Macaca mulatta: one gene and its partners. The protein of the gene in region 1 purifies or fractionates together with the protein of each later gene. This does not show direct contact. Links are inferred from orthologs where the notes say so. Each region holds a gene or a part of one and is shown on either strand. Other genes may lie near its edges. The genes, in order: EIF3F, EIF3B, EIF4G1, PRRC2B and DDX3X.

The links.
Region 2: the proteins of EIF3F (region 1) and EIF3B purify together in Homo sapiens (affinity purification with mass spectrometry; 14 studies listed by BioGRID and IntAct, counting the BioPlex papers as one, with this or other methods). This does not show direct contact. The link is inferred for Macaca mulatta from reciprocal best matches to the Homo sapiens genes EIF3F and EIF3B.
Region 3: the proteins of EIF3F (region 1) and EIF4G1 purify together in Homo sapiens (affinity purification with mass spectrometry; 3 studies listed by BioGRID, with this or other methods). This does not show direct contact. The link is inferred for Macaca mulatta from reciprocal best matches to the Homo sapiens genes EIF3F and EIF4G1.
Region 4: the proteins of EIF3F (region 1) and PRRC2B purify together in Homo sapiens (affinity purification with mass spectrometry; 3 studies listed by BioGRID and IntAct, counting the BioPlex papers as one, with this or other methods). This does not show direct contact. The link is inferred for Macaca mulatta from reciprocal best matches to the Homo sapiens genes EIF3F and PRRC2B.
Region 5: the proteins of EIF3F (region 1) and DDX3X purify together in Homo sapiens (affinity purification with mass spectrometry; 3 studies listed by BioGRID and IntAct, with this or other methods). This does not show direct contact. The link is inferred for Macaca mulatta from reciprocal best matches to the Homo sapiens genes EIF3F and DDX3X.

What each region holds. Positions count from the first base shown.
Region 1 is NC_133419.1:57,532,313-57,537,666, forward strand, and holds the end of EIF3F (eukaryotic translation initiation factor 3 subunit F), read right to left. Parts: intron 4,800-5,354; coding exon 4,662-4,799; intron 3,124-4,661; coding exon 3,032-3,123; intron 2,577-3,031; coding exon 2,440-2,576; intron 2,305-2,439; coding exon 2,191-2,304; intron 1,617-2,190; coding exon 1,539-1,616; 3' UTR 1,390-1,538; downstream 1-1,389. UniProt on the Homo sapiens protein: Component of the eukaryotic translation initiation factor 3 (eIF-3) complex, which is required for several steps in the initiation of protein synthesis.
Region 2 is NC_133408.1:36,347,887-36,353,426, forward strand, and holds part of EIF3B (eukaryotic translation initiation factor 3 subunit B), read left to right. Parts: intron 1-744; coding exon 745-876; intron 877-954; coding exon 955-1,021; intron 1,022-1,428; coding exon 1,429-1,475; intron 1,476-3,777; coding exon 3,778-3,988; intron 3,989-5,540.
Region 3 is NC_133407.1:96,460,056-96,465,595, forward strand, and holds part of EIF4G1 (eukaryotic translation initiation factor 4 gamma 1), read left to right. Parts: intron 1-295; coding exon 296-388; intron 389-592; coding exon 593-659; intron 660-957; coding exon 958-1,773; intron 1,774-1,828; exon of another isoform or gene 1,829-1,907; intron 1,908-2,037; coding exon 2,038-2,126; intron 2,127-2,218; coding exon 2,219-2,405; intron 2,406-2,493; coding exon 2,494-2,627; intron 2,628-2,755; coding exon 2,756-2,914; intron 2,915-3,080; coding exon 3,081-3,269; intron 3,270-3,455; coding exon 3,456-3,653; intron 3,654-3,875; coding exon 3,876-4,022; intron 4,023-4,552; coding exon 4,553-4,789; intron 4,790-4,942; coding exon 4,943-5,047; intron 5,048-5,153; coding exon 5,154-5,313; intron 5,314-5,369; exon of another isoform or gene 5,370-5,445; intron 5,446-5,524; coding exon 5,525-5,540.
Region 4 is NC_133420.1:16,047,888-16,053,427, forward strand, and holds part of PRRC2B (protein PRRC2B), read right to left. Parts: intron 3,127-5,540; coding exon 2,931-3,126; intron 293-2,930; coding exon 76-292; intron 1-75.
Region 5 is NC_133426.1:41,231,311-41,237,375, reverse strand, and holds the start of DDX3X (ATP-dependent RNA helicase DDX3X), read right to left. Parts: upstream 3,439-6,065; 5' UTR 3,346-3,438; coding exon 3,301-3,345; intron 251-3,300; coding exon 193-250; intron 1-192. UniProt on the Homo sapiens protein: Multifunctional ATP-dependent RNA helicase. The ATPase activity can be stimulated by various ribo-and deoxynucleic acids indicative for a relaxed substrate specificity.

The DNA of each region.
Region 1 (5,354 bases):
TTTTTCCTCGGGCTAGTTTAATACTTACACATTTATTATAATTACTGATGTATTTGGACTTGTTTTGCCATCTTGTTTTATCCACCTTTTCTATGCTTATTTCTCAAATTTAAAATTTTGTTTCTTGCCTATTATCCCACCATTTCTCATCACTATTCATTTAGGGATTATATATACTTCTAGCAATTAACCTTGGAATTTTATCATGCATACTTAAAAAGACTAAGTTGATATTAACTGGCTACTCCCAAAAATGTAAGAAAACTTTTTTGACTCGATTAACCTTCTTCCCACCATGCTCTCTACTTTTAACCTCACAGTTTGGCCTGTCATTACCATTTTGCCAGTAAGATCTGTTTACACTTCCCTACCTGTAAGAAAGTATCTATCATTACTATCCATACTTTATGACTCCCATAACTTGTATTTCCTAAGGTACATATCTCAGAACTGAATTCCAGGCTGGGGTTCATATTGCTTATTACTTTCAAACTATTCAGCTTTAGGTATCATAGCATCTACCACTTATCTGTGCTTACTACATACCAGGAGCTATTCTCTACAAGTGGTGATTAACCTGACATTTATTAATTCATGGAATCCTCATAATACCCTAATGGACTATGTATGTTTATGATCCATATCTTATGACTTTTATAATAATTTATCTTTCCTAAGGCTACACATACCTCAGAACTAGGATCCAGGCCTTTTTGATTCCCCATTGCCTTCATCCACCTTTTCACTCCAATATGTAATTTCCTGAGTTCTTGAATAATGACTTGTTTCTTTCTAAGACACACAGTGGTGAGGTGGAACTCCAGGATACCAGAGGAAACGGATGTCTGAAGTTACACAGGCAAGTACTCTAGCCTACAAGGCCTCTGGGAAATGCCATCTAGTCTTTGCTCAAATTGAGCCACTGGCAGACCTCAATATAACTGAAGGCTGTACCCTCAAGTTACAGATAGCACCTAAGAATTTTCTGAAGTTTTGGGGAAACCTCTTTAATCTTTAACCCACAGATCTTAATTGTCCCTCCCCAAACTAAAGTGGCAGACAGCTCCATCTTACTATTAATGTATTTTAAGATAGTGACTACACACTCTACTCTTTTAGTTTAGATTAAGCATCCAATTTTCTCAGCTATTTTTTCTCCATGGATTCTTATTTTCATTTCCTACAGAAATCACACGAATCCTCAAGAAAAGGTACAGTTTTGCCAATGGACACCTTTCCATATTGAAAACCAAAAGAACAGTTTGGTAAAACAGTAACCTGCCAAACACATAACCAACTTTTTTACCTACAATATTCACTTCCTGGTTTCTGTGTGATCTAAAACATTTTCCTCCCTTCCACCCGGCAATAAACTCACATAAGATGAAATTAATTTACAAAAGGTAGGCTATGTTTATTAGAGTCACACACAGTTGACTGTCTCAGTGTGACTCAAGACCACAAAAAACCCATTTCTCCTTCACTTCTGAGTCCTGGGTTTAAGACCTATACCAGCAGGCGTACTGCTTGGGGTCCATTCACAGGTTTACAAGTTTTTCATTGAGGGCAATCTGTGACTGTGTGAGGTTGGCCAGGTAGGTCACCATCAGCAGGTCCTGGAAGACAAAGAATACACAATGAGTGGGGGGTTGGGTGGAAAGGGAGCAAAAAGGCTGGCACTGGCTGGCTCTATGGTGGGCACCAGGTATGAGGACAGTTGTGGATAAATGACAGCTGGGAGAGACCGAATAAAAGTCAAAAAGGTAGACGACAGAAAAGAAATGCTTGAGAAGACTTTCTTATCTCTACTGAGACACTTACAGTCTAGGGGTGCCTTAGCTGAAACCCATGGATGGAATATAGGGGGTCCGTGAACTCAGATGGGGAAAACAAGTAATTGCATTTTCCTTAACCTCTGCATTTTAGTGTTTCTTTCTATCACAAATTTAGACAGTAAGTCACAGTAGCATCAGCAGTAAATGAGACAATGTAATCACGGGAGAAGGAAGAAGTCTCCAAACATGCATACCACACCTCTTCCTTCCTCCCAACCTGGACTTCCATGGGGCTATAGGTGAAGCCCTGTCTCTATCCTACTCCAGGCCACCTCACCCAACTCTTCACATTTGAGTGTATGTGCTGAGGTAGGGGAAGAAACCAGGCAAGCAGGGGCTCAGGAAGGGCACTCACATTGATGTTGCTGTTGAGCATGGTCTCGAAGTCATCGGGAACTATTTTGGGTACTTGGTTAACCAGGCTCATCAGGAAGCGGCCCACAGTATTGTCAGCTGACACCTTTCCAGACTGAGCACCAAAACAAAGACTCAATGAGGCAGTTAATTATAACCACTGCGCCCTACCATTTCATCAGCACCTGCCTCAGTAATCCCAGGATGGAGAACTATGTCCTCCCCCTTTGTTTTTTCTTTCCCCTCTCACCAGTACATCCTCTGCATATTGCAACACTGTGCTCAGGGCATCCTGGATGCGAGCTGATGCCCCTCCTACTTGCTGCAAGTCACTTGAGAGTCCAATCACTCTGTTGGGGCTAAAGCAGGTCTTCATGATCAGGTCAACTGTGGAAGTTGGGTGGCAGTGGCAGTGGTGGGCAGTAAGAGAGAGAATTCAGTCATCCCACCAGGAAAGAGATGGCCTTAAAGTCCTGCTAACTCTGTTTCCCACCTCCCCTTAGACAGTCTGCTCAATCACACTCCCTGCTGTGCCCTTATCAGCTTTTCTTCCTCCTAACAGAGCTCAACTCCTTTTACCTGGTATGCTCATCACCGGTTTTGATCTCATATGAATGGTCATGTGGCCTCTGGTGCTGATAATTTCCCACCTTTAACAGTTTCTCAAATAACTCCTTAAATCCCATTTATACAAGAGATGACTGTAACTTCTAGTCTTCACAAACCTTAGATCAATAGTCCCTTTTTAAACCACCCAAGGCCTCCATCCTTGTTGCAGAACAGCAGCCCCCTTCCCTGAAAACGCCTATGACCTCTCAAGAGAGTATGGAAAGGTTACTCACCTCCGATGCGTTCAGTGTCATAGTATGCGTATTTCACTGTCAGAGGTGTGAACATCACTCCCATGGTCCTCCCAGGGACACCCATTAAAGTACTGAGGAAGGAGAAGCCAAGGTAAACAGATGGCCTTGGGAGAGGGTTTCCATGTCTATTCTGGGCTGAGAATGCAGATACAGCAGGAATATGGCTCCCAAGGTTCTAAGACAGGAAGGGTGGGACCAAATGAACCCGAGGTCTCATGGGAGCAAAAGTTACTTTCTCCCCTTAGCTTGTCCCACATACCAAACCTTTGATCTGTAAGAGGGGACGCAACCTTTGCACCTGGCCTGGTCCCTTTAGAGGATTACTTCACACACGGTGCAGTGTCAGTGATGAGAGGACAGGACTCAATTACCCATGGAGTTGGCTGTCTATATAGCTGCCCACCATGGAAAAGAGACAGAGACAAGTCTTTTCTGGGACCAACCCCTTCATCAGCATTGAAAAAGGAAACCAACTCCTGCTCACCAAATCAGATTGGGTGCTATAAGTAATCTCACTAAAGGTATTGTTTTTACTATGTCAATTATATACCTGGATCTATACTTTACTATGTCAACTCTCTATCTATCGTATCTATCGTATCTATCGTATCTATCTATCTATCTATCCATCCATCCATCCATCCATCCATCCATCCATCCATCCACCCACCCACCCATCCATCCAGCTGGATCATATATAGATCATATATATATATATATATATATATATATATATATATACTGGATCTTGAGGAGTCTGAAATACTTGGGAAGGCTAAGAAGTCAGGCAATGGCTAGTGCTTAGTGGTATGCCAACTGGCTCATAAAGACTTGGCATCCACCATCTTTGTCTTACTGTGTAAGAGTTAATTGGCTTTGTCAGTGTCAGACACAGAACCAGCACGAAATCAACAGCCTAACAGATGCACTAACAGCTGCCTTCCCTCTGACTTTCCAACTCCCACAGCTGCTTCCAACTCCCACAGCTGCTTCCTCAGCACACCACCAGGGCCTTTCCCAACATCCCCCTTAACTGGCATTTTAACCACCTGCAAGCTCAATGTGTTCACTGTAATGTCACTGTCATTAAAACTGCACTCAATCCTGGGTTAATTAATGTGTTCAAAATAAGGACAGTCATCCTTTAATACGTACTACCCTGAGTACTGCGCTGAGTTCTAGAGAGGATGACAAACTAATGGGTAATTCAGAAAAGTAATGAATGTGGTGAAGGATCATGACAAGAATACCACATGATGACTGGCTGTAGGAACTATGGAGTCAGGTTCTACAAAAGACGACTTGATAGCTTGCTCAAATACCATGTGATGACTGGCTGTAGGAACTATGGATAATTAGGTTCTACAAAAGATGACTTGATAGCTTGCTCAAATACTTAAAAGGGCAATGAGTAGAAACTGGAGTACAACTAGGATCAGCGGTAGAAATTATAGGAACAGATTCTGTTTCAGAGTGAAACCGTTTGAATAACTGTTGAGAGAGAGGAACACAGCAAGTTACACACGGAAGGAATGAACCTTGCTTGGGGTGGGGGAGGGATGGCATCTAGGCATGGTTTTATGCCCTTGTAGCCCAAGACTGTGGTCACCTGACATAGGCTTTGATGCTCATGCGGCCGTTCTGGAGACTTGTGTCCACAGTGAGGTGGATGGGGTTGGGGGCCTCTCGGCTGTAGTACTCATGGATTAGCACAGAGTGCTCTGTGATGTCATGGCCTGTAGCGTACCTGTGAAATGGAACACAGTTGCAGACTCATGTCTATATGTGACATCAACATCAAACACAACAGTGGCATGGGTGTCTTTAGGGTACCCAATACCTCTATGGTAGGGATACCTAGTGATACCAAATGCCAAGAACAATATATACATTGAAAACTATGTCAAATAAAATCAAAGGCTGACTTAGTGCTGCTGAAAATTCCAAGTCTCTTACAAGGTAATTCAAAATATCCTGGCCCCACAGGATCAGAACCACCAGCAAAACCCACTGAATTCACAGTTCCTACAGGTAACACACTTTCCTTTTTTGTTTTTTAGAGACAGGGTCTCACTCTGTCACTCAGTCTGGAGTGCAGTGGCATGGCATTATTATAGCTCACTGCAGCTTCAAATTCCTGGCCTCAAGTGATTCTCTAGCCTTAGCCTCCTAAGTAGCTAGGACTATAGGTGTGTGTCATCATGTCTGGCTAAGTTTTTAAAACATGTATTTGTAGAGTCAGGGTCTCATTATTTTGCTCAGGCTGATCTTGAACTACTGGGCTCAAGTGATCCTCTTGCCT
Region 2 (5,540 bases), on another chromosome or scaffold:
GCCTCCCGAGTAGCTGGGACTACAGGCGCCCGCCACCTCGCCCGGCTATTTTTTTTGTATTTTTTAGTAGAGACGGGGTTTCACCGTGTTAGCCGGGATCGTCTCTCGATCTCCTGACCTCGTGATCCGCCCGTCTCGGCCTCCCAAAGTGCTGGGATTACAGGCTTGAGCCACTGTGCCCGGCAATTTTTTGTAGAGACGGGGTTTCACTGTGGTCTCGATCTCCTGACCTTGTGATCCGCCCGCCTCGGCCTCCCAAAGTGCTGGGATTACAGGCTTGAGCCACCGCGCCCGGCCAATTTTTTGTATTTTTAATAGAGACGGGGTTTCACCGTGGTCTCGATCTCCTGACCTTGTGATCCGCCCGCCTTGGCCTCCCAAAGTGCTGGGATTACAGGTGTGAGCCACTGTGCCCAGCCTACCTTGTTAGTCTTAATGAAACATGAGTAAAGATAGAATTCCACACTGTGCCTCCCTCTAGATCACTCAGCAGCCTTTTGTGTGGGGCCTGTGAGATCTTTCTGTGCTGATCTTGGAGAAACCAGAGTGTCTGCAGTGTATTGACACCAGAATGAACAAGCGCTGCTGCTTCCCTCTTCCGCTTGGAACTCTTGGGGCCGGGCAGTGTGGGGTTGCGGGAGAGAGTTGGTTCCATGAGTTCTGACCGCGTGTTCTGGCCGCACAGACAGACTACGATCCTCTCGTGAGAGGAGGGTAGCATACAGTGTGGCCCCTCTCTTCTAGGTACCTGGTGACCTTTAGCCCCCTGATGGACACGCAGGATGACCCTCAGGCCATAATCATCTGGGACATCCTTACAGGGCACAAGAAGAGAGGTTTTCACTGTGAGAGCTCAGCCCATTGGCCTATTTTTAAGTAAGTGGACCATTGTAACGAGCTCTGTAGCCTTTGTCTTTTCATTGGAACACCTTGGCATTTGTTTCTTCTTCTTAGGTGGAGCCACGATGGCAAATTCTTTGCCAGAATGACCCTGGATACGCTTAGCATCTATGAAACTCCTGTAAGTGGTCCCGGTGATGGAAAACGCCCCGTCCCATCCTTGCTTGTAACTGGGGTGTGGTGCTTTTCCGTATTTGTGCTAGAAGAGGAGGAGGAGGTTTCACAGATGCGTAGGAAAGTCCTGTCTCCTGTGCCTTTTTAACAAACCTTGCTCTGGGCAGAGCTCTTCAGTCACTCCTGCCCCCCTGGCACAGCCGTGGGGGGTCCTGGATGAGAGTTAATGCAGTGGGCTTCAGAACTGCAGTTCTCGGTGGTGGGTGGGTGGGTGGAATCATTGTCATCCTCTGTGTGCGCTGCCCTCTAGGCAAATTCACATCAGACTCTGGTTTCCTTTTGTAAAAAGTTAAGTGTGCTTCTGAGACACTGACATGATTTGACTCAACTTTAGCCTTCCTTTTTTTTGGGCAGTCTATGGGTCTTTTGGACAAGAAGAGTTTGAAGATCTCTGGGATAAAGTGAGTATTCTTATCAATTTGGTGTCTTCTTGCGTTCAGGCTGCTTAACACAATACCATAGGCGGGGTGGCTTATGACAGCAGAGATTTCTTTCTCCCAGTTCTGGAGCTTGGGAGCCCGAGGTCAGGGTGCCTGCAGACCCATGGTGAGGGCCCACCTCCCTCCTCATGGACGGCCCCTCAGTCCAGCCTTCCCGGAAGAAGGCTTCCGGGGCTGCTCTGTAAAAGCTGTCATCTCATTCCCGAGGGCTTCACCCTCAGGACCTCCCACCCCCAAAAGGCCCCACCCCATGCCATCACCCAGGGGGTTAGAATTTCACCCTGTGAATTCGGAGGACACAGACGTGGTCCATTGCAGTTGGTTTCCTTTATTTGTGCTCTCTCCTTTAGCACTCAGCTTTTTTTTTGTTGTTAAAGAGACAAAGTCTTGCTCTGTCACCCAGGCTGGAGTGCAGTGGTATGATCTCCGCTCACTGCAACCTCCACCTCCTGGGTTCAGGTGATTCTTCTGCCTCAGCCTCCCGAGTAGCTGGGACTGCAGGTGCCCACCACCATGCCTAGCTAATTTTTGTATTTTTCACAGAGACAGTTTCACTGTGTTGGCCAAGCTAGTCTCAGAACTCCTGACCTCAAGTGATCCGCCCACCTCAGCCTCTCAAAGTGCTGGGATTACAGGCGTGAGCCACTACCCCCGGCCATTTTTAAGTCTTTTTTGAGACGTAGTCTTGCTCTGTTGCCCAGGCTGGAGTATAGTGGTGTGCCTCCCAGGTTCAAACGATTCTGGTGCTTCAGCCTCCCGAGTAGCTGGAATTAACAGGCGCACCACCACCACGCCTGACTAATTTTTTGTATGTTTTAGAAGAAACGGGGTTTCACCATGTTGGCCAGGCTGGTCTTGAACTCCTGACCTCAAGTGATCCACCTGCCCGCCTCAGCCTCCCAAAGTGCAGGGATTACAGGTGTGAGCCACCATGCCCAGCCTAAGGTGAGTTTGTTCTGGACGCCAGGATGGAGGCTTGGGTCGATGGGCAAGGCTGCTCATTGCTGGGCCCACCACCCTCAAGGCACCACTTCAGTGACCCCTTTCCTGTGCCCAGAAATGAATCTTCCAAGGCCAGAGCCTTGAGTCGGCTTCCTTCCATTTACCTCGTCTTTGACCTAGAAACTAGGGGGGTTTCCAGCCTTAAGGAAGAGAGGGGACTCTGCTTAGGCGAAAGGTTTTCCTATTGCTCTTCTGTCTGAGGCAGAGTTTGGGGAGCCTTCAGCTCATTTTCACCATCAAAGAATGGGCACGTTTTTATTTATCGGAAAACTTGGGACTAGTCAGTATTATAGTAGTGAACTACCAGCAATCCAAGGACATTGACGTGTCTTCTTTCATTTTTACATTCTTGGGCAAAATTATGGCTTATAAAATGAGAAGACCAGGACGTTGGTTCTCAGTAAATGCAAAACAGCACATAGCGTGTATAAAGCTGTTTTTCATGTAGGTGAGCTCAGGATCGTTCGTTCCTTACAGCAGCTTTTCTGTAGAGAGGTTGATACAGTGGAGGGAGTTGCCCTTTTTCTTTTCTTTTTTTTTTTTTTTTTTTTTTTTTTGAGACGGAGTCTCGCTGTGTCACCCAGGCTGGAGTGCAGTGGCGCGATCTCGGCTCACTGCAAGCTCCGCCTCCCGGGTTTACGCCATTCTCCTGCCTCAGCCTCCGAGTAGCTGGGACTACAGGCGCCCGCCACCACGCCCGGCTAGTTTTTTTTTTTTGTATTTTTAGTAGAGACGGGGTTTCACCATGTTAGCCAGGATGGTCTCGATCTCCTGACTTCGTGATCCACCCGCCTCGGCCTCCCAAAGTACTGGGATTACAGGCTTGAGCCACCGTGCCCGGCCTGAGTTGCCCTTTTTCTTGCTCATTCCTTATACTTGATTTGCCGGTTTCCCCATTTGCACCTTAATTAATCTTCAGATGACGTAATAGCCCGGTCAACCAGCCTACAACTTACTTGCGTCAAAGCAGCAGTGTGCGGTGTCTTAAGAGTGGGCTGACAGAGCGTAGGCTGGAGTCCCTATGAATCTGTGTGTGATGGTGGGGTTGCTAATACTCTGTCTGCATTCATTCCCTGTTACAGTGAGCACGGTAGTGCCCCAGGGTCCTGGCGAGGACCTGTGAAGCTGCCCGGCGGGAGTGCTCAGCGTCAGTTATAACAGCATTGAGCTTCTGTATAGCAAATGAGTTGTTTTATTTTCTTCTGCTTTTCAGTTTCATCACTTGGCCTTTGCTTTAGCGTTTTATTTTCCTGTCGTGCAGAGACTTTTCTTGGTCTCCTGGTGGTAACATAATCGCCTTCTGGGTGCCTGAAGACAAAGATATTCCAGCCAGGGTAACCCTGATGCAGCTCCCTACCAGGCAAGAGATCCGCGTGAGGAACCTGTTCAACGTGGTGGATTGCAAGCTCCACTGGCAGAAGAACGGAGACTACTTGTGTGTGAAAGTAGATAGGACTCCGAAAGGCACCCAGGTATGTAGATTCCCTTGGGAACTGGCGATTCATTATCCTCAGCTCTGAAGTGGCCACCGTATTGTTTGGAGGTTGTTAATGGATTTTGTTTTGTTGTGTTTGTTTTTGAGACGGAGTCTCGCTGTCACCAGGCTGTAGTGCAATGGCGCGATTTTGGCTCACTGCAGCCTCCGCCTCCTGGGCTCAAGCGATTCTCTTGCCTCAGCCTCCCAAGTAGCTAGGACTACAGGCGTCCGCCACCAGGCCCGGCTAATTTGTGTATTTTTAGTAGAGACAGGGTTTCATCATATTGGCCAGGCTGGTCTTGAACTCCTGACCTCAGGTCTGCCCACTTCGGCCACCCAGAGGGATGGGATTACAAGCGTGAGCCATTGTGCCCAGCTGAGAATACTATTGTCTTTCTGAGCACAAAGAGTAGTATACCCAGATTTTTTATTTTTTTTTGGTGGTTGATCATTTAATACTTATTTTATCAAAAAAATTGCCTGAGTTGGCTGGGTGTAGTGGCCCGTGCCTGTAATCGCAGCACTTTGGGAGGCCAAGGTGGCCAGATCACGAGGTCAAGAGATTGAGACCATTCTGGCACACATGGTGAAACCCCATCTCTACTAAAAGTGCAATAATTAGCTGGGCATGGTGGCGCGCGTCTGTAATCCCAGCTACTCGGGAGGCTGAGGCAGGAGAATTGCTTGAACCCAGGGGGCGGAGGTTGCAGTGAGCTGAGAGATTGCGCCACTGCACTCCAGCCTGGCGACAGAGCCAGACTCTGTCTCAAAAAAAAAAGAAAAAAAAATTCCTGAGTTTTCCCTCTAATGGAAGTATTCCTCTTTGTTTTGTGTTAAAAAAGTTTTAATTGATAGGTAATTCACATGCCTTAAAACACCCCTTTAGAGTGGCGAACTGGTTCAGTGGCTTTTTGTGTGTTCAGAGTTGTGCAGCCAGCACCGCTCATTTCAGAACATTTTCATCGGCTGGGCGCGGTGGCTCCCGGGGTGGGAGGGAAGATAGCTTGAGACTAGGAGTTTCAGACCAGCCTGGGCAACACAGTGAGACCCCATGTCTACAGATAATTTTTAAAAGATAAAAAATAAGAAATGTTTTTGTCACCCTACAAAGAAACACCATGCCTATTAGCAGCTTCTCTGCCCAGCTCCTGGCATCACGAATGTCAGTGATTTCCCTGTTCTGGACGCACAGCTGGAATCGGATAGTATGCCGCCTTCTGTGTCTGATCTTCACGTAGCTCAGTGTTCCCACGGCTGGTCCGTGGTGCTGAGTCTGAACGATAATCTCTTGTCTGGTGACCACATTTCTTGGCCTCCTTCCTTTGTTGATGGACGTCAGGGCAATTTCCCCTTAGACTGCTGGAGGAGGGCAGGACTTCTTGAAGGTTATGGCTACCGGACACCCCACTGTCTGAAACGGTCTAACCAGCCCCATTGGTGAGCCTTTATGGCCCTTGGGATCCTGGTCCGCAGGCTGCAGTGAGGACCCTGGGACTGCTTGTGCCCGAGTGTGGCAGGCAGGGCGGCTTCTGGAGGTGGGATCTGGG
Region 3 (5,540 bases), on another chromosome or scaffold:
CAGGGTGTGCAGCCACTGGCTTGGGGACTGCTGGTGGGGTAGGGATGAGGGAGGGAGGGGCATTGTGATGTACAGGGCTGCTTTGTGAGGTCAAGGGTCTCTTAAGGGTGGGAGCTAGGGCAGGGACTACAAGAGCAGCCAGATGGGCTGAAAGTGGAACTCAAGGGGTTTCTGGCACCTACCTACCTGCTTCCCAGTGTGGGGTGGGGAGTTGGCCCAGAGTCTTAAGAGTGGGGCAGGGTGGAGAGGTGGGCTCTTCCTGCTTCCCACTCATCCCATAACTTTCTTTCCCCAGATCCGAATTCGAGATCCAAACCAAGGAGGAAAGGATATCACGGAGGAGATCATGTCTGGGGCCCGCACTGCCTCCACACCCACCCCTCCCCAGGTACTGTCTGTTTTTTGAGCGATACCCTGACTGGGATGTCTGTTCTGCCCTGGACTCCCAAGTCTCTGGATCTTTTCTTTCAACTAAGGGATTTATTTCCCTGCTTTCCTGGATTTCTAGGCAGAGCTAAAGTAGAAATGGCTCTAGTAAAGAAGGGTTGTGGGACTCTTCAGTGCAAACTTGGTAACCCTTTGTGTCCTGCAGACGGGAGGCGGTCTGGAGCCTCAAGCTAATGGGGAGACGCCCCAGGTTGCTGTCATTGTCCGGCCAGGTAAGTAAGCGGGTGGGATGGAACTTTTACGGGGAAAGGGAATGTTGACAGTTTGCTGTCACCTCAATGCTGAGGTGGTGGAGTGACTTGAACTGGGTACCAGAGAAGGATGACTTAGATTTCAGGTCGTGGGATTTTGAGGGTGAATTGGGTTTTGGATGAAAGTGGAAGTATAGCTTAGGTGGGAGATGATGACGTGGGAGTGTTAAGTTGGAAATACCTTGGCTGGAGGATGGGGAGGAACAACAGCAGTGAAGCACTTGCCTTTAGTTGCTCATTCTTCCTTCCTATGGTGCAGATGACCGGTCACAGGGAGCAATCATTGCTGACCGGCCAGGGCTGCCTGGCCCAGAGCACAGCCCTTCAGAATCCCAGCCTTCGTCACCTTCTCCGACCCCATCACCATCCCCAGTCTTGGAACCGGGGTCTGAGCCTAATCTCGCAGTCCTCTCTATTCCTGGGGACACTATGGCAACTATACAAATGTCTGTAGAAGAATCAACCCCCATCTCCCGTGAAACTGGGGAGCCATATCGCCTCTCTCCAGAACCCACTCCTCTCGCCGAACCCATACTGGAAGTAGAAGTGACACTTAGCAAACCGGTTCCAGAATCTGAATTCTCTTCCAGTCCTCTCCAGGCTTCCACTCCTCTGGCATCTCACACAGTGGAAATTCATGAGCCTAATGGCATGGTCCCATCTGAAGATCTGGAACCAGAGGTGGAGTCCAGCCCAGAGCTTGCTCTTCCACCAGCTTGCCCCTCCGAATCCCCTGTGCCCATTGCTCCAACTGCCCAACCTGAGGAACTGCTCAACGGAGCCCCCTCGCCACCAGCTGTGGACTTAAGCCCAGTCAGTGAGCCAGAGGAGCAGGCCAAGGAGGTGACAGCATCAGTGGCGCCCGCCACCATCCTCTCTGCCACTCCAGCTATGGCTCCTTCAGCTACTTCCCCCGCTCAGGAGGAGGAAATGGAAGAAGAAGAAGAAGAAGAGGAAGAAGGAGAAGCAGGAGAAGCTGAGAGTGAGAAGGGAGGAGAGGAACTGCTCCCCTCAGAGAGCACCCCTGTTCCAGCCAACTTGTCTCAGAATTTGGAGGCAGCAGCGGCCACTCAAGGTAAGGATTGGTTGGGCAGTAGAGGTAGGGTGGGCTAGGGGATGTGGTTCCTTGCCCTCCTTGATGACCTCCCGTTTTTGCCATGTTTCTGGGTCATAGAGGCCCTGCAATGGAATCTAAGAACTAGATTAAGGACTTTTAAGCCTGAAGACTGTGATGCAAAGGGGAAATATGTACTTTGGCTGCTTTTTATTTCCCAGGGATTAAGGGTACTCCTTAAATTATTGGCAAAGACCCATGCTTTTATTTATTTTTTAAAATTAGTGGCAGTATCTGTGCCAAAGAGGAGACGGAAAATTAAGGAGCTAAATAAGAAGGAGGCTGTTGGAGACCTTCTGGATGCCTTCAAGGAGGTAAGGGAGCAGAAAACGGAAGGGGAGAGGGCCAAGTTGAGGTATGGAACAGTGGTCATTGTGCAACCAAAACTGGTGTTCTGTTGTTCTAGGCAAACCCGGCAGTACCAGAGGTGGAAAATCAGCCTCCTGCAGGCAGCAATCCAGGCCCAGAGTCTGAGGGCAGTGGTGTGCCCCCACGTCCTGAGGAAGCAGATGAGACCTGGGACTCAAAGGAAGACAAAATTCACAATGCTGAGAACATCCAGCCCGGGGAACAGAAGTATGAATATAAGTCAGGTATGCTGAAGAAAGGGTTGAGAATGACTTGAGTTTTCTTATTAGGGCCAGAGAAGACAGTATGATTGCTTCATTCTCTTCCTCGCAGATCAGTGGAAGCCTCTAAATCTAGAGGAGAAAAAACGTTACGACCGTGAGTTCCTGCTTGGTTTTCAGTTCATCTTTGCCAGTATGCAGAAGCCAGAGGGATTGCCCCATATCAGTGATGTGGTGCTGGACAAGGTTAGTGGCTTGAGTCAGGGAGGGGACGATAAGTTTGTGCTGGATGGATTGGGGAGGAGCCTGAGGTCCTGAAAGAGTAGTCAACTGCTCTAGCCTGCTTCTAAGACCTTTTCCTGTCCTCTTTGCAGGCCAATAAAACACCACTGCGACCACTGGACCCCACTAGACTACAAGGCATAAATTATGGCCCAGACTTCACTCCATCCTTTGCCAACCTTGGCCGGCCAGCCCTTAGCACCCGTGGGCCCCCAAGGGGTGGGCCAGGTGGGGAGCTGCCCCGAGGGCCGGTGAGTGGGGCTGGGTAAAGGGGCAGGTGGGTAAGGAGTGGGAGTGGATGATTCCCCTGTGTCTCAGTGCTGACGGGGAGGGTTTTGCCCTGGAGGCGTGTAGTAGTGGTATCACATATTGTGCTGACTAGTTCCACGTCCCCTCTTGTCTTCATCTCTTGCTTAGCAGGCTGGCCTGGGACCCCGGCGCTCTCAGCAGGGCACCCGAAAAGAACCACGCAAGATCATTGCCACAGTGTTAATGACCGAAGATATAAAACTGAACAAAGCAGAGAAAGCCTGGAAACCCAGCAGCAAGCGGACGGCAGCTGATAAGGACCGAGGGGAAGAGGATGCTGATGGCAGCAAAACCCAGGTACTGGCGAGTCCTGCTTTTGGTCTCTCTCCATTTCTTTTCCATGTCTGCTGTCAGTGCCCTCTTTGCTGCTTTTTGTCCTTATCAGTAGCATCTGTCATGCCTAAGTCCCCACCACTCTCTCCTGTCCCTCTGAACAGCCTGTTCTGAGACCCTCACTGGAACTCTTGTCTCCTCTTCCTCCAGGACCTATTCCGCAGGGTGCGCTCCATCCTGAATAAGCTGACACCCCAGATGTTCCAGCAGCTGATGAAGCAAGTGACGCAGCTGGCCATTGACACCGAGGAACGCCTCAAAGGGGTCATTGACCTCATTTTTGAGAAGGCCATTTCAGAGCCCAACTTCTCTGTGGCCTATGCCAACATGTGCCGCTGCCTCATGGCGGTTAGTTTCCACTGGGTTCTAAATCTTATGGTCTAGTTGCCCATTTCTATTCCCAAGACTCCTTGAGTCCAGCTTCTTGGTTCTCCTCCAACTTGCACCTCTTCCAGCTGGAAGGAGGCACAGCTGGGGCCAGATATCTTCCTGGGTCAGGTAGTTAAAGGCTCTTGGAGGGCCTTCCCTGCCCAGTACTAGTCTGAGTGTGACATTCTCTCCGACCTGCAGCTGAAAGTGCCCACTACGGAAAAGCCAACAGTGACTGTAAACTTCCGAAAGCTGTTGTTGAATCGATGTCAGAAGGAGTTTGAGAAAGACAAAGATGATGATGAGGTTTTTGAGAAGAAGCAAAAAGAGATGGATGAAGCTGCTACGGTGAGAGAAAACCCACTACCGATTCCACTCCCCACTTAGCTCCTTCCCTCACCCAGATTCTACTCAACTGTAGAATTTGGAATGGAAATAGTGGTGTCTTGGGGATTTCTCTGGCTCAGAACTTTTTTTTTTCCTTTTTGAGACAGAGTCTCGCTCTGTCACCGAGGCTGGAGTGCAGTGGCGTGATCTTGGCTAGCCTCCACCTCCCGAGTTCAAGCGATTCTCCTGCCTCAGCCTCCCAAGTAGCTGGGATTACAGGCATGTGCCACCATACCTGGCTAATTTTTTTGCATTTTTAGTAGAGACGGGGTTTTACCATGTTGGCCAAGCTGGTCTCAAACTCCTGACCTCAAGTGATCTGTCTGCCTCGGTCTCCCAAAGTGGTGGGATTACAGGCATGAGCCACTATGCCCAGCCAGCCTGCCTCAGGACTGAGTGCTTATTGCTAAGTTTGGATATCCAGGTAGAAAAGGGTTTTAGCAGAGTGGCTGGCTATCTTTTTGACACAATCCCTGTCATGTGAATGGCAGGCAGAGGAACGAGGACGCCTTAAGGAAGAGCTGGAAGAGGCTCGGGACATAGCCCGGCGGCGCTCTTTAGGGAATATCAAGTTTATTGGGGAGTTGTTCAAGCTGAAGATGTTAACAGAGGCAATAATGCATGACTGTGTGGTCAAACTGCTTAAGAACCATGATGAAGAGTCCCTTGAGTGCCTTTGTCGTCTGCTTACCACCATTGGCAAAGACCTGGACTTTGAAAAAGCCAAGGTAGAGGTTCTTGCATCTGGAGGGGGATGGGCTGAAGCATGCGGGGCTCACTGAGCCACAGGGACGGGGCGGAAGGCCTGAGGGGAGGGGTGGGGCCTGCAGTTATAGGTGAGACATGAGAAGTTCCTGGTCTGATGCCTTTCTCCTCCATAGCCCCGAATGGATCAGTATTTCAACCAGATGGAAAAAATCATCAAAGAAAAGAAGACGTCATCCCGCATCCGCTTTATGCTGCAGGACGTGCTGGATCTGCGAGGGGTGTGTGTCCCCCTCCTCCCCACTGCCAGCCTGCTGCCTCCAGTTTCTGACACTGTCTTGTCTGGCCTTCCCTGACATCATCGTGACTGGCCTTCTGTCTCCACAGAGCAATTGGGTGCCACGCCGAGGGGATCAGGGTCCCAAGACCATTGACCAGATCCATAAGGAGGCTGAGATGGAAGAACATCGAGAGCACATCAAAGTGCAGCAGCTCATGGCCAAGGGCAGTGACAAGCGTCGGGGTGGCCCTCCAGGCCCGCCCATCAGTGAGTTCCAGGCTGGGATTGAGAAGGGAGCAGTGAAGAGACTGGGAGGTTATACTTTCCTCTGATGACTTCCTGTTAGTGCCACGTGTCTGGGCCACTGAGACCCCATGATGGAACTGAGGATCTGAGGAAGGGAGGCTGGGGGTGGCCCAAGGGGAAGGGGCTGCTAAGGTTTATTCATTATTCCAGTATGCCCCTCTTTTTGTGTCAGGCCGTGGACTTCCACT
Region 4 (5,540 bases), on another chromosome or scaffold:
TCATCCCAGGACCTCTGGATTCGGACCTGGAATCTTCCTTCAGTGGCAAGGCAGCAGGACCAGGCTTCATCTCACCTGACACGCATGTCCATAGCCAAGGTGTCGCTCGACTTCGGGTGCGTGAGCGGGTAGCCCTTGCTCTGCAGTGCCATGTAGCCCTCTGGGCTCCACACAGGGGGTGAATCGATGGGGGTCACTTTTCTTTCTTGGAGTGGGGGCACACAGTTCTGATCCTCAGAGCGACAGCCTGTCCCACTGAGGGACTCTTGGGGCATCATGGGCTTCATCAGTCCTGAAGAAGGCAAAGACTGATCTACATCATCTCATTTAGAAAGCCCTGCTCCAATCTCAGGCTCAACCAAAGGCCCAAAGAAGTCAACAGTTACCCTGACTGTCCCGTGGATACAGCACCCCACCCACCTACACATCACAGGGCTCTTAATCTGTCCTGACCTGAAGACCTCTGAAGGCACACACGCATGCACCTTGCCTGGTTCAAAGACCTGTGAAGTCCAAGGAAGCGGGCAAGAAAAGCACATTTGTCAGATACGGGCTTGGTCCTTAACACTCACAGGACAGGGGATGAAGTCTTTCTAAACAGGGCAGGGAGATACAACTGAGACACTGTTTAAAACAAAGACCCAAAAGGGCCACATCCTCAAAAGGCACATTAGATAGACATATGCACTTTACTACCGGGAACAGACTGGTGGTCTGTCTAGCCTGGACCAGGGCAGGGAAACCACTGTCCCCCTCCCAGGAATTCAGACTCACATGCCTACTTTCATGGGGGTTTAAGGGACAAAGACTTTCTACCTCCCCAAATACTTTGCTAAGTTGAAGGTGCATGTTAGAATGTTCATGTAACCACTAACATATAGAAATGAAACGTAGAAGCAAAAGAAAAACAAGAATAGGACCAAGAAAAGGCAGGAATAAGAAGAAAAGGCATAGAAAGAGAAGAATAAGAATGGAATGCATGAACTATCATAGTTGGAAAATCTAAATATAATAATCCCAGGCCGGGCGCGGTGGCTCAAGCCTGTAATCCCAGCACTTTGGGAGGCCGAGACGGGCGGATCACGAGGTCAGGAGATCGAGACCATCCTGGTTAACACAGTGAAACCCTGTCTCTACTAAAAAATACAAAAAACTAGCCGGGCGAGGTGGCGGGCGCCTGTAGTCCCAGCTACTCGGGAGGCTGAGGCAGGAGAATGGCGTGAACCCGGGAGGCGGAGCTTGCAGTGAGCTGAGATCCAGCCACTGCACTCCAGCCTGGGTGACAGAGCGAGACTCCGTCTCAAAAAAAAAAAAAAATCCCAATAAGGCTGGGCGTGGTGGCTCATGCCTGTAACCCTTTGGGAGGCCAAGGCAGGCAGATCACTTGAGGTCAGTCGAGTTCGAGACCAGCCTGGCCAACATAGTGAAACTCCGTCTCTACTAAAAATACAAAAAAAATCAGCCAGGCATGGTGGCAGGTGCCTGTAATTCCAGCTACTCAGGAGGCTGATACAGGAGAATCACTTGAACCCAGGAGGCAGAGGTTGCAGTGAGTTGAAATTGCACCATTGCACTCCAACCTGTGCGACAGAGCAAGATTCTGTCTCTAACAATAATAAAAGTAATCCCAATAAATCTAAAAGGACCAACTTTTGCAATTAAAAGTCATAGACTTTCAGAGTGGTAAAGCCATACACATCTTGTAGATACAAAGATACACTCCCAAAAAATAAGGACTCAAAGAAGCTAACTGTAAAAATTGGAACAAAAGACTTCAAATACTTATCAACAAAAAACTAGAATTATTATATTGCTATCAAAGTAGGCAATAAAGATAGAAAGCACTATTAATGATAACAAGGGTACTACATAAGGATAGAAGGAACAAGATACAGAAATTCTAAACCTGTATGCCTCCAGATAGACACAGCAAAAATTGACAGGCTCCCAAAGAAGATCTGACAAATCCATAATCATAGTGGGACATTTTAAAACACCTTTTAGTAACTGGTCAAAGGGATAAAAACTTGCAATGAAGAAGACATTTGCACAACACAATTAGCATGCTAAACTTAATGGACTATCTCCAACCAGAGAATACAGTCTTTTCAGGCAAATGTAGAATGTTAGAATCACCACAGAAGAGGTTACAGAGAAAACCCAACAAATGTCAAGCAACCTAAGTCAGGAGTTGGTCAGCAAACTACAGCCATTAAACAAAACTCAGCCTGCTGCAGGTTTTTATAAGTAACATTTTATGGAAAAAACAACCATGTTCACTCACTTACTATCATTTATGGCCGTTTTCATCCTACAACACCACAACTGACTAGTTGATCAGGGCCTAAAAGACTTACTATCTGGTCATTTGTAGAAGTTTGCTGACCCCTGGTCTGTAACACACAGACCATATTATCTGACCACAGAGCAACTACATTAGAAATTAGTACCACAAAGAGAATCTTAAAAGCCAGAAATTAGTAAACTAAGTGTATGATATTTTAAAGGAAGTAAGAAAAGAAAAACCAGACATTATTAAAATAAAACCCAAATAAGATACAGTAATGAAGAAGCCCAAATACTGATTTTAAAAAGGCACTAGACAAACCTTGGGAAAGACTAATCAAGGAAAGAAGAGACAGCACAAAGAACATTAAGAATGAGAAGGACAAAACGACACAGCAGAAATCTAAAATTAATTAAAGCAATTTATGATACACGATCTTCATGACTTTCCCGACAAATCTTTATGACAGAACTATTATTGTACCTATACTTTGCCAGCGAGTCCTTTGAAATTCAGACCAGTCGTGTACATGACAAAGAGCCAGACCAAAATCCAGGTGTATCTGTTTAACTCGAGATGACACCCTTGACCACCGCGCTATCCTGGGTGATACAGGTATGGACCATTAGACCACAGTGCTTACCTGATGGATGCAGGGCGGAGGGGTAGAAGTCCACTGGGGTCCGAGTGGGCGTGATGCGTGGGTCCATGTAGGAAGGCATCATCATCCACCTGGGATCGAAGCCCAGCATCTGGGGGTGGTGTGGGTAAAAGGTGCGCTGGGGATGGGATGGCGGGGGGTACACCGGCTGCCAGTGCTGCATCTTGTACAGTTGCTCCTGCCCGCAAAGAGAGAGACTTGGTCAGGCTGGTGCGGCAGGGGGCTGAGATGCCACCCAACACACGCCTTCCAGCTTTCCAGCAGGCAGCACAAAAAGCCCACCTGGAACAGAAGACCAAAGAGGGGAGGGATGGGCAGCTGCTCAAGGGGGAGCCCCCAATGTGTTACAGCTTGCAAGCTCAGGTCCCTGTCCAAGGCTGGTGGAGAGCCAAGCCATTATCACAATGGAGGCCCATCTGCGCCTGTGGTACACGAGCCAGGCTAGGTTTTCACTTAGATCAGACACTCCTGGAATCCACCAGCAGCCTCCCACAGAATGTCTGGACGCTGGCCACTTCTCTCCTTGTCTGCAGCTACCACCTGAGGTTAAATAATATACCAGCATCCCTTCCCTGCTCCCTCCTGGCCTCTTCAATCCATTTTCCATCCTCGACTAGGGTGATCTTTTCACACAGACACCCCACGCCCAATAGGTCGACCCCTAGCTCAAAAGAGCCTTCAGTGGTTCTCCACCACTCTCCACCCGACAGCCTAAATCCTACGAGGCTACTCGTGACCTATGGGGTTAGGGTGAGGGTTGGGTCCCATGTGACTGCCCAGTCTGCCTCTCTAGCTTTGCCTTGCACGACTGGCCCTCTGCTTTCTGCTCCATATATCCCTGCCACCACTTCAGGCCATGGGAATACACTGGGGCCCCTAGGTAAGCGCCTCTTCCCTCCGTCCCTAAATCCAGGTTTCCAGCTTCAACACATCCTCTAGGAAGCCTGTCATTACACCCAGACGAGACCAGATCCCCAGTTCTCTGCTCACACAGAACGGCCAGTGCTCCTTTGTTGCACTCACAGCAGTTGATGGTTTGGACTGCTGGTAACCCTCACCGAACCCTAAGAGACTCCCTGTGCACCCTTGCCCACAGCACAATCGGGATACAGAACATTTGCACAAATGGGTAAACAGAAAGTATCAGTCAACTATTCAAAATCAAGGCTCTTGCCTGACTCAAGAGGGTTCATTTCAGACCCTGCTCTATCCCATCAGTGACCCCGGGTGCTAATTCCTAAAGGAACCCTGAATTGGCCTTGAGGCAGGACTCACTGCTGCCTCACACTCTGAGGACGCCCAAGCAGCCTCCAGCACACATCCTTCCATTCTGAAAACAAAAAGGCGGCCAATCCGCCTGGCAGTCTACAGCACATCCTGAGCTGATTCCCTGGACGGTTCTGTTGGTGCTCCCAGTGCTTATTAAGAGCACTCAATAAATATAGGTCATCAATCAAGAGACTTGAGTCATTCACTCTCCCAGTCCACAGAAAAGGCTGTGGGCCTCCATCTCCCAGCTCCTCTTCCTGTCTACACCCTAGGTTTCCAGCAACTATGACTAGACAGGCTGCCCTGGTGCTTTCAGACTTCCTTTTTTTGAGATGGAGTCTCGCTCTGTCACCCAGTCTGGAGTACAGTGGTGCGCTCTCGGCTCACTGCAACCTCCAACCTCCCAGGTTCAAGCGATTCTCCTGCCTCAGCCTCCTGAGTAGCGGATTACAGGTGCACAGCACCACGTCTGGCTACTTTTCGTATTTTCAGTAGAGATGATGTTTCACCATGTTGGTCAGGCTGGTCTCGAACTCCTGACCTCAGGTGATCCGTCTGCCTCGGCCTCCCAAAGTGCTGGGATTACAGACGTGGGCCACCACGCCTGACAATTCCTTCTATTCTTAAGGAAGGACTTACCCATCACTTCCCTCCGCACCCCAAGGAGTTACCTAGCGCAACTGTCACTGCTAGGTTTGGCACAAGTAATTCCAGAGCTCTCCCCCATCAGTAATTCTATAACCCACGAACATGAGTAACTGTGCAGTGCTCGCCTACACTCCCATGCTCTAAAATCACATTAAAGGCAGTCCCTGGAATGCTCCCAGGGGCCCAGAAGAGAGAAGAGGCTGAGCAGAGAAGTTTAAAGGTAATTAAGTGAGATACTGGGAAAAGCCTTAAGTCCTTGGCTTGTTTCTCCACAGCACACAGGTTTTGAAATATTTTCAGCTAATATTAGTAATAATTTACTGCACACCTTGCTGTTTGGTGTGCACCAAGTAATGTCTACGTATCACCTCAGTTTCCCAACAAAATGCACTATTCCTCAGTATTGACTACTGTGTTCCTTTACTTATTACTACTCTAGTAGGCACGATTGCTGATGAGTGCTTCAAGACCATCAGGACTAGGAGAGATTGGTGGAATTACAACCATTATCCACATGCTCTTTACGACAAAAAGTAGGTCCCTTTTAAAATTTATAAAAAAATAAAGTTTATAAAAAGTCAGTAACGGTGACACCGATAAACCAGTTTATAGGTGTTATGGCATGAAACGCTCTGCCACGCTGAAAGGCAGGTATTCATTCTTCCTGGTTTACAC
Region 5 (6,065 bases), on another chromosome or scaffold:
CTGGGCAACAAGAGCAAAGCTCCATCTCAAAAAAAAAAAAAAAAAAAAAAAAAAGGCAACAATGCTTTAGACTACATAATTCTTTAAGCAGTAAAAATTGAAAGGCAAATTTCTTAAATTTTAAATAAGCCCAATGAAATCTTAAGACATTAAGCTCTAATATTCAATAAATCCATAAGATGTTTTACTTACTGCTGGCTGTACTTCCTCCACTCTGATTATCTGAAGAGTTCAGGTCTAGGCCAGCAAACTAGAAGAGAGTGAGATGGTTAGCACCCCATGTGCTCAAATACTGTATTAAGAGAAAACTAGTCGCGCCCTCTAGCATTTGCTAGCACTGCATTCAAGTAGTTGGCCAGTCCACCTCACAGGGCTGATACCAACTCTTAATGAGAAAGTGACTAAGAATGCTTTCAAATCTGTAACGCTCTAGGCAAATGCAAAATATTACTATTGTATATACTACAGAAGGCGGTACACCAAGATGCTTGTGCTATTCAGTAGAAACTGTCCAAATTTCATTCATTCATTCAAAACGAATTTTCACTGCAACATGTTCCATAGCACAGGCTCCCTAATCACCAAACTAAAGCTTACACTGAACCTCAAAATTATTCTTCAATGTCAAATAGATAAGGGATTCGTTTTAGTGCCAGTCATAAACATTTCCAACGCCAACTTTCTGTAGTACCTGGTATTTTAAACCTAAAAAGCACACCTGAAAAATGTCAGGACAAATTTTGAATTGGCCGTTCTTTAGTTCCTTCATCCCCAAATATTGCCTACGTATTTTTAGTCGGGTAGTACTCTTAAGAACAACAAAAAAAAGCAATATACCAACCACTTACACAAAACACTATGTTAAGCACAACTCTGAAGTAGTTTGACTGTTAATTCGTTTGTTTGTTTTTTGAGACAGTCTCCCTCTGTAACCCAGGCTGGAATTCAGTGGTGTGATCTCGGCTCACTGCAATCTCCGCCTCCCCGAGTAGCTGGTATTACAGGGGTGCGCCACCACGCTAGGCTTTTTGTATTTTTAGTAGAGACGGGGTTTCGCCATGTTGGCCAGGCTGGCCTCCTGACCTCAGGTCAGGTGATCCACCTGCCTTGGCCTCCCAAAGCGCTGGGATTACAAGCATGAGCCCGGCTTGAAGTAGTTACCTGTTTATTACCCCATTGTAACAGAAGTTCAAAAATGACTTTGAATAAATGGTACAACTGGCATTCAATGCTCTTAGGGAGTAGGACGTTTTAGTGCCTTTCATCTATATTTCTACCCATCTCCCTTACACTGGTATCTCAAAAGCCTCAACATTCTTGAAAAGGGTTATATGCTACCTTCGTAACGTTGTATAACTAACCAGGAACTACTCACAAGTAGTTGGTGGAAAAAACTGTACATGCAAAGTGTTTCATTTTTCTCAAAAAAGCCACAAAAGACCAAGTTACACAGTACCGTTGCCAACCTGTTTGCAAAAGATACACTATATACCATGTTTATAAATCTTGTGTTTAAAGCTCAGTATGATACTGCCAAACTGCAGGCATCATCAATGGAGTCACTGAAAACTGGAAGCAGATGCTGAGTGTAAGACTTCAGGCACCTAATTTCCAGAATTTCTATGAGAAAAAACACCACCGCGCTTTCTCTTGCTACCGTTAATACTTTAAAGCACGGCAGAACCACAAACTTTCCTTTTGCACTTGTTATAGTACAATTTTGCTTTTTAAATAAGGTTCACTGCTGCCTAGAATCCTTAAAAGGACACTGTAGCTAAATGGAAAATGGTAAAACTGGGAATACTCTGTGCTGCTGGTAGATTGTTAAAATGTCTGTGTTCAATTCAACATATGAAGTGTCAACAATTAGAGGATTTAATATAATTGGTTCATTAACAGGGAGAAAATGCTCCCAAAGGAACAGATCAATTCCTAAAAAATATTACATATGACTACATTAAAATACGTATTCAATTAATTTGTGCCACTAAACTTAGTCCCAGGATTATTCCGGAGTTTGTGAAATTAACTCCTAATCAGAAGTGTATTTAAAGGCTCCGCATAACCCACACAAGAGCTTATCTGAAACGTGGTGCCACTGTTGCGGCGGGATGCAGTCTTCCTGCCACCAAAGCCCAAAACCTTCTCTCAGATCACACGTCCTCCTCTCCTCTGCCCCTAAATCCTTAGAAGAGGAGATTCTGTCTAAAAGACTGGGGGGGCCTCGGACCCATCGCGAGATTCTACTCCACAGGCAGCAACAAGTCAACAACAAAACTGTTTACTTCCCCCAAAAGCCGGGTGTTTTTCCAAAGGCGGATTCCTGGATCAAAGTCACTAACATGAAGACACTCCCACAACCCGCGATGACCCCTCCACTCCAGAAAAACGCGGGGCTCCCGGCTAACTCGCCACACAGGGACAACCTGGGCCAAGCAAGGAGGAGAAAGGGCCTCGCTGGCTAACCTCCCCGCCGCGTCTAACCTCTATCTTCAGAGCCCAGCGGCCCATTCCTGCCTCCCCTCCCCGCCCCCACTCCTCCCCAATCTTCTGCGTCACAAAACTTTCCACTCCGGAAACGCAGCCTCCCCGGCCGCGGCGCCGGGCCTGCGGACCCTGCGCAACCTGGGCTGAAGCGAAAAGGCCTGCGGAAGGAACCCGGGAAAAACAAGACGCCCATTCCATCCTCCTTTCCAGGCCCTCGCCCGCCCGGGACCCGCCGTCTCCCGGGAGTGAGCCACAGCGCCTCCCAGCACCACACAAAAGAGACCGCCGCCATTACCCCAAGCGAAGGCCACCCCCTCCCCGCCGCGCCGCCCCCTCCCACATTCCTGGGCCGCGTTCCACCCCTTGCTCGCAGGCACGCAAACACCGGATGCCGCCGGGTCCTCCAGACGGTAATCCAGGCTGCGCCAGCCGTGAAGGCCGAAACCCTCCAGGCCAAAAGGGTCTCCAGTCGCGTCCCGCCGCGCTGCGCACTCCCGCAAAACACCCCCCCCAGTCACTAATCAGTCGGGGTTCGCGCATGCGCGTCCCCGCGAGAGCGCGCGCACTCCCTCCCCCCTCCGCCCGCCTGCGCACGCACACACAAAAGCCGCCATTGTGCTCGTCCCGGGGACAATACAGCGGGCCGAGACCGGGCCCGGGCGACAGCCCCAACCAACGTTCCTGTCCCTCCATAGCCCCGGGGCACCCAGGAAATGAAAAGTAAGAGTCCCGGTTAGCGCTGCGCCATTAGCCAGGTTAGGTCAGAGGAGGGATTCACGCAGCAGCCAGCCCAGTGGGGTCCTTGCGGCTCACCTGCTGGTCCAGCCCGAGCGCATTTTCCACCGCCACATGACTCATCCCTGAAGAGTACCGAGAACTCGGAGTCTTCCGCTGCTAAGCGAGTGTGTCTGTTCCACCGCGAAGGCCCTCTCACGGGAGAACTGCGGCTCTGGAGCGCACCGCGCGGCCACGGATCTAATATACCCGCTTGAAAGCCCGCTACGTCAGCACGTACAACGTGTGCCCTCCCTCTCACACTGCAATCCCCTGTCGCGGCGACTAATGCCCGGCTACTGCGCGCTCCCTCAGGTCTAACCTCACGGGATTTCCTACTTAGTCCCGTCGCCCCTAGCAGTCCTGTCTTGGAGCTTGGAGCGCCAAATGCTGTCCCAGTTCTCCCGAGCTACACTTCCCGTGCTCTCCGCTAAAACCGTAGTCTCAGCCTCGGAGGTCTCGAGATCTCGCGAGAACTTGCGTTTCCCGTTTACCACCAGCTAAAAGGCCTGGAAATGTTAACCTAGGCCTCTTCGCTCCCCTTTCCAACCCTATGCACTCAGCTTTAGTTTTTCGGGTTTTTTTTCTTGGGTTTTTTTTTTTCTTTTCTTTTCTTTTTTTTTTCCATCACTGGCCTTCACTCTTCCTCTCTCAGTTCCCGGGCTTGGAGATGTGGTGGGATTTCTCCGGTCTAATCTGCCCTCGGTCTTCCGCGTGTAGCCTCCCCGAAGTCGGAGCTAGGCAGACAGTCCCGAAACCGAGAGGGCGGCAGGCCACGTGACCGCAGGTGTCGCGTGCGGTGGCCATTTTGTGAAGCAGGAAACGGTGGCTTGAATTTAGAGTGCTCGGGACGGGGGGGCGGGGAAGAGGAGGAGAGAACAGAGGGAAGGGGAGGAGGGGGAGGAAAAAGAGGGGAGCGGAGGAAGGGGAAAGGAGGAGGGAGGAGGGTAGGATGGTGACGGGGCGGGAGTCGGGGGGAAATGGAGGGGAGCCGGCGGCGCGCTGGTGGCCCGACACCTCCCTGCGCTGTTGCCTAGGTAGCGGGGGCGCCGCCTAGAAACACACAATGGCCCCTCCCGGCCAACCCCCAGACGTGTGCGCGCGCGCCCCCACCCCCCGCGGTGAGGGAACAATGAGACAGTCACGCGCTGATCCAGAGCCGCCGCTGGCGCGCCCTCCCGGGACCCCTGCCCTCCGCAGGAATGCGGGCTACATTTGCCCCTAGCTTCTTCTCGCTGGGCACCCAGCTGCTTAGGGCAGGTGAACACCGGCGTTGCGGGGAGCCTGCGGGTCGCGAACGGCTCTTCTAGGGCCCAAGGGTGTCGGGAATGTTTGTGGTCGGTGCAACCTGGGCCTGCAGGAGGGGCTGCAGCGGGGTTACCCTCAGGCCGCTGCGGTGTATGAGGAACGGGAGGAACCACGTTTCTGCCGTCGGAGGAACCTCTTCCCGTGGCCCCCTCCCAGGCAGGCCACCCCAAGTCCCGGCTTCGGTGCCGCAGGCCCTTAAATACAAGAAGATGTGTTTACTAGTGGATTCCCGGCTTTGAGCCGGCACACGCACATCCGTGGTTTCTTACGACCGCTTTCCCCTCTCCCTTCTGACCCTCAGCCCGACGGAATTAAATAAAACGCAGTGGTTTCCACCACCCTCCAAAGGGTCTTCTGCTGCCAGGATTCAAATAGTTCGTGCTTATCACATAATTTACCATACACAAAACTTCTCTCCCCAATTTTTAAAATCGAAATGGAAATTCGAACGAGATAGGGAGAGAATATCACACTGTCGGGGGCAAGTGGTTTAACGGCTTTGGGTCTCAATTTCCTCATCTATAAAAGGAGTCTGCTACATTCCATAACCCTGTGAAAGACCCAACTCCTTTTCATAACTAGTATTTTCTAACGTCCCTTTTACCTATACTGAAATAACAAATCATAGGTAATACTATGTAAACCTACAAACACAATTTCAAAAAACATGACCTATTAACAAACGGAAGCAAAATGATTATAATAAAACAACGTATTATAATATGTTAATGCCGCTGCACAGCTACGCTAACTGGTAGGAAGATACCTGCCCAGTAGAGCCACAAATGCGAACTGGAAAGGTGTTTTGATTTCACAACTCGAGTTCCATGTACAGCATTGCTACTAGGAACCTCATTTTCCACAATGTTGAACTATTAATAATGTTTAAATAAAACAGTACAGTCTTCCTTCCGTTGAAATAGTAGTTGCATTTGTGGAAAATTCAGAATATATGGAAACTGGGCAAAGATACTTTGTGTTCATATGTAAAACAGTGTTAGTTCTAGGCTTAGATGATAATGAACTAGCTTTTCACCGACATCAGTGTCCAGTGGTTCAATTCTTCGCTCTATGGGAATGACCAGCATCACAGAACATCCTAGCATGCCTAGCTCCTGCCCACTAAATGCCAGTAGCCCTCGCCAGTCATTGTGACGACCAGAAATACACAGATTTCTACAATGCCCTTTGGAGAGTCACTAGGTTTAATGATATTAGGGTCCCTTCCTGCCCTGAGATTCGTGGATTCTCATGGAGTATTGGTGAAGGACCTCGGTTTTGTTTCAGTTTCGTTTTCCTATGAACCAGGGTAAACATGAGTCAGGTTCAAAAACTGTGAGTTCCGATAGCTCTTCAAAATGCATATAGCAACAATGGGATGCACTGACTACCCTGGTTCTGGGCTTTGTTTTACTTTTGAGTAGAGCCGAGTACAGGGTACTGCCATGGGAGTACCTAAAAGAATTAAAATATACAGCAGTTCCCTATTTTCAATT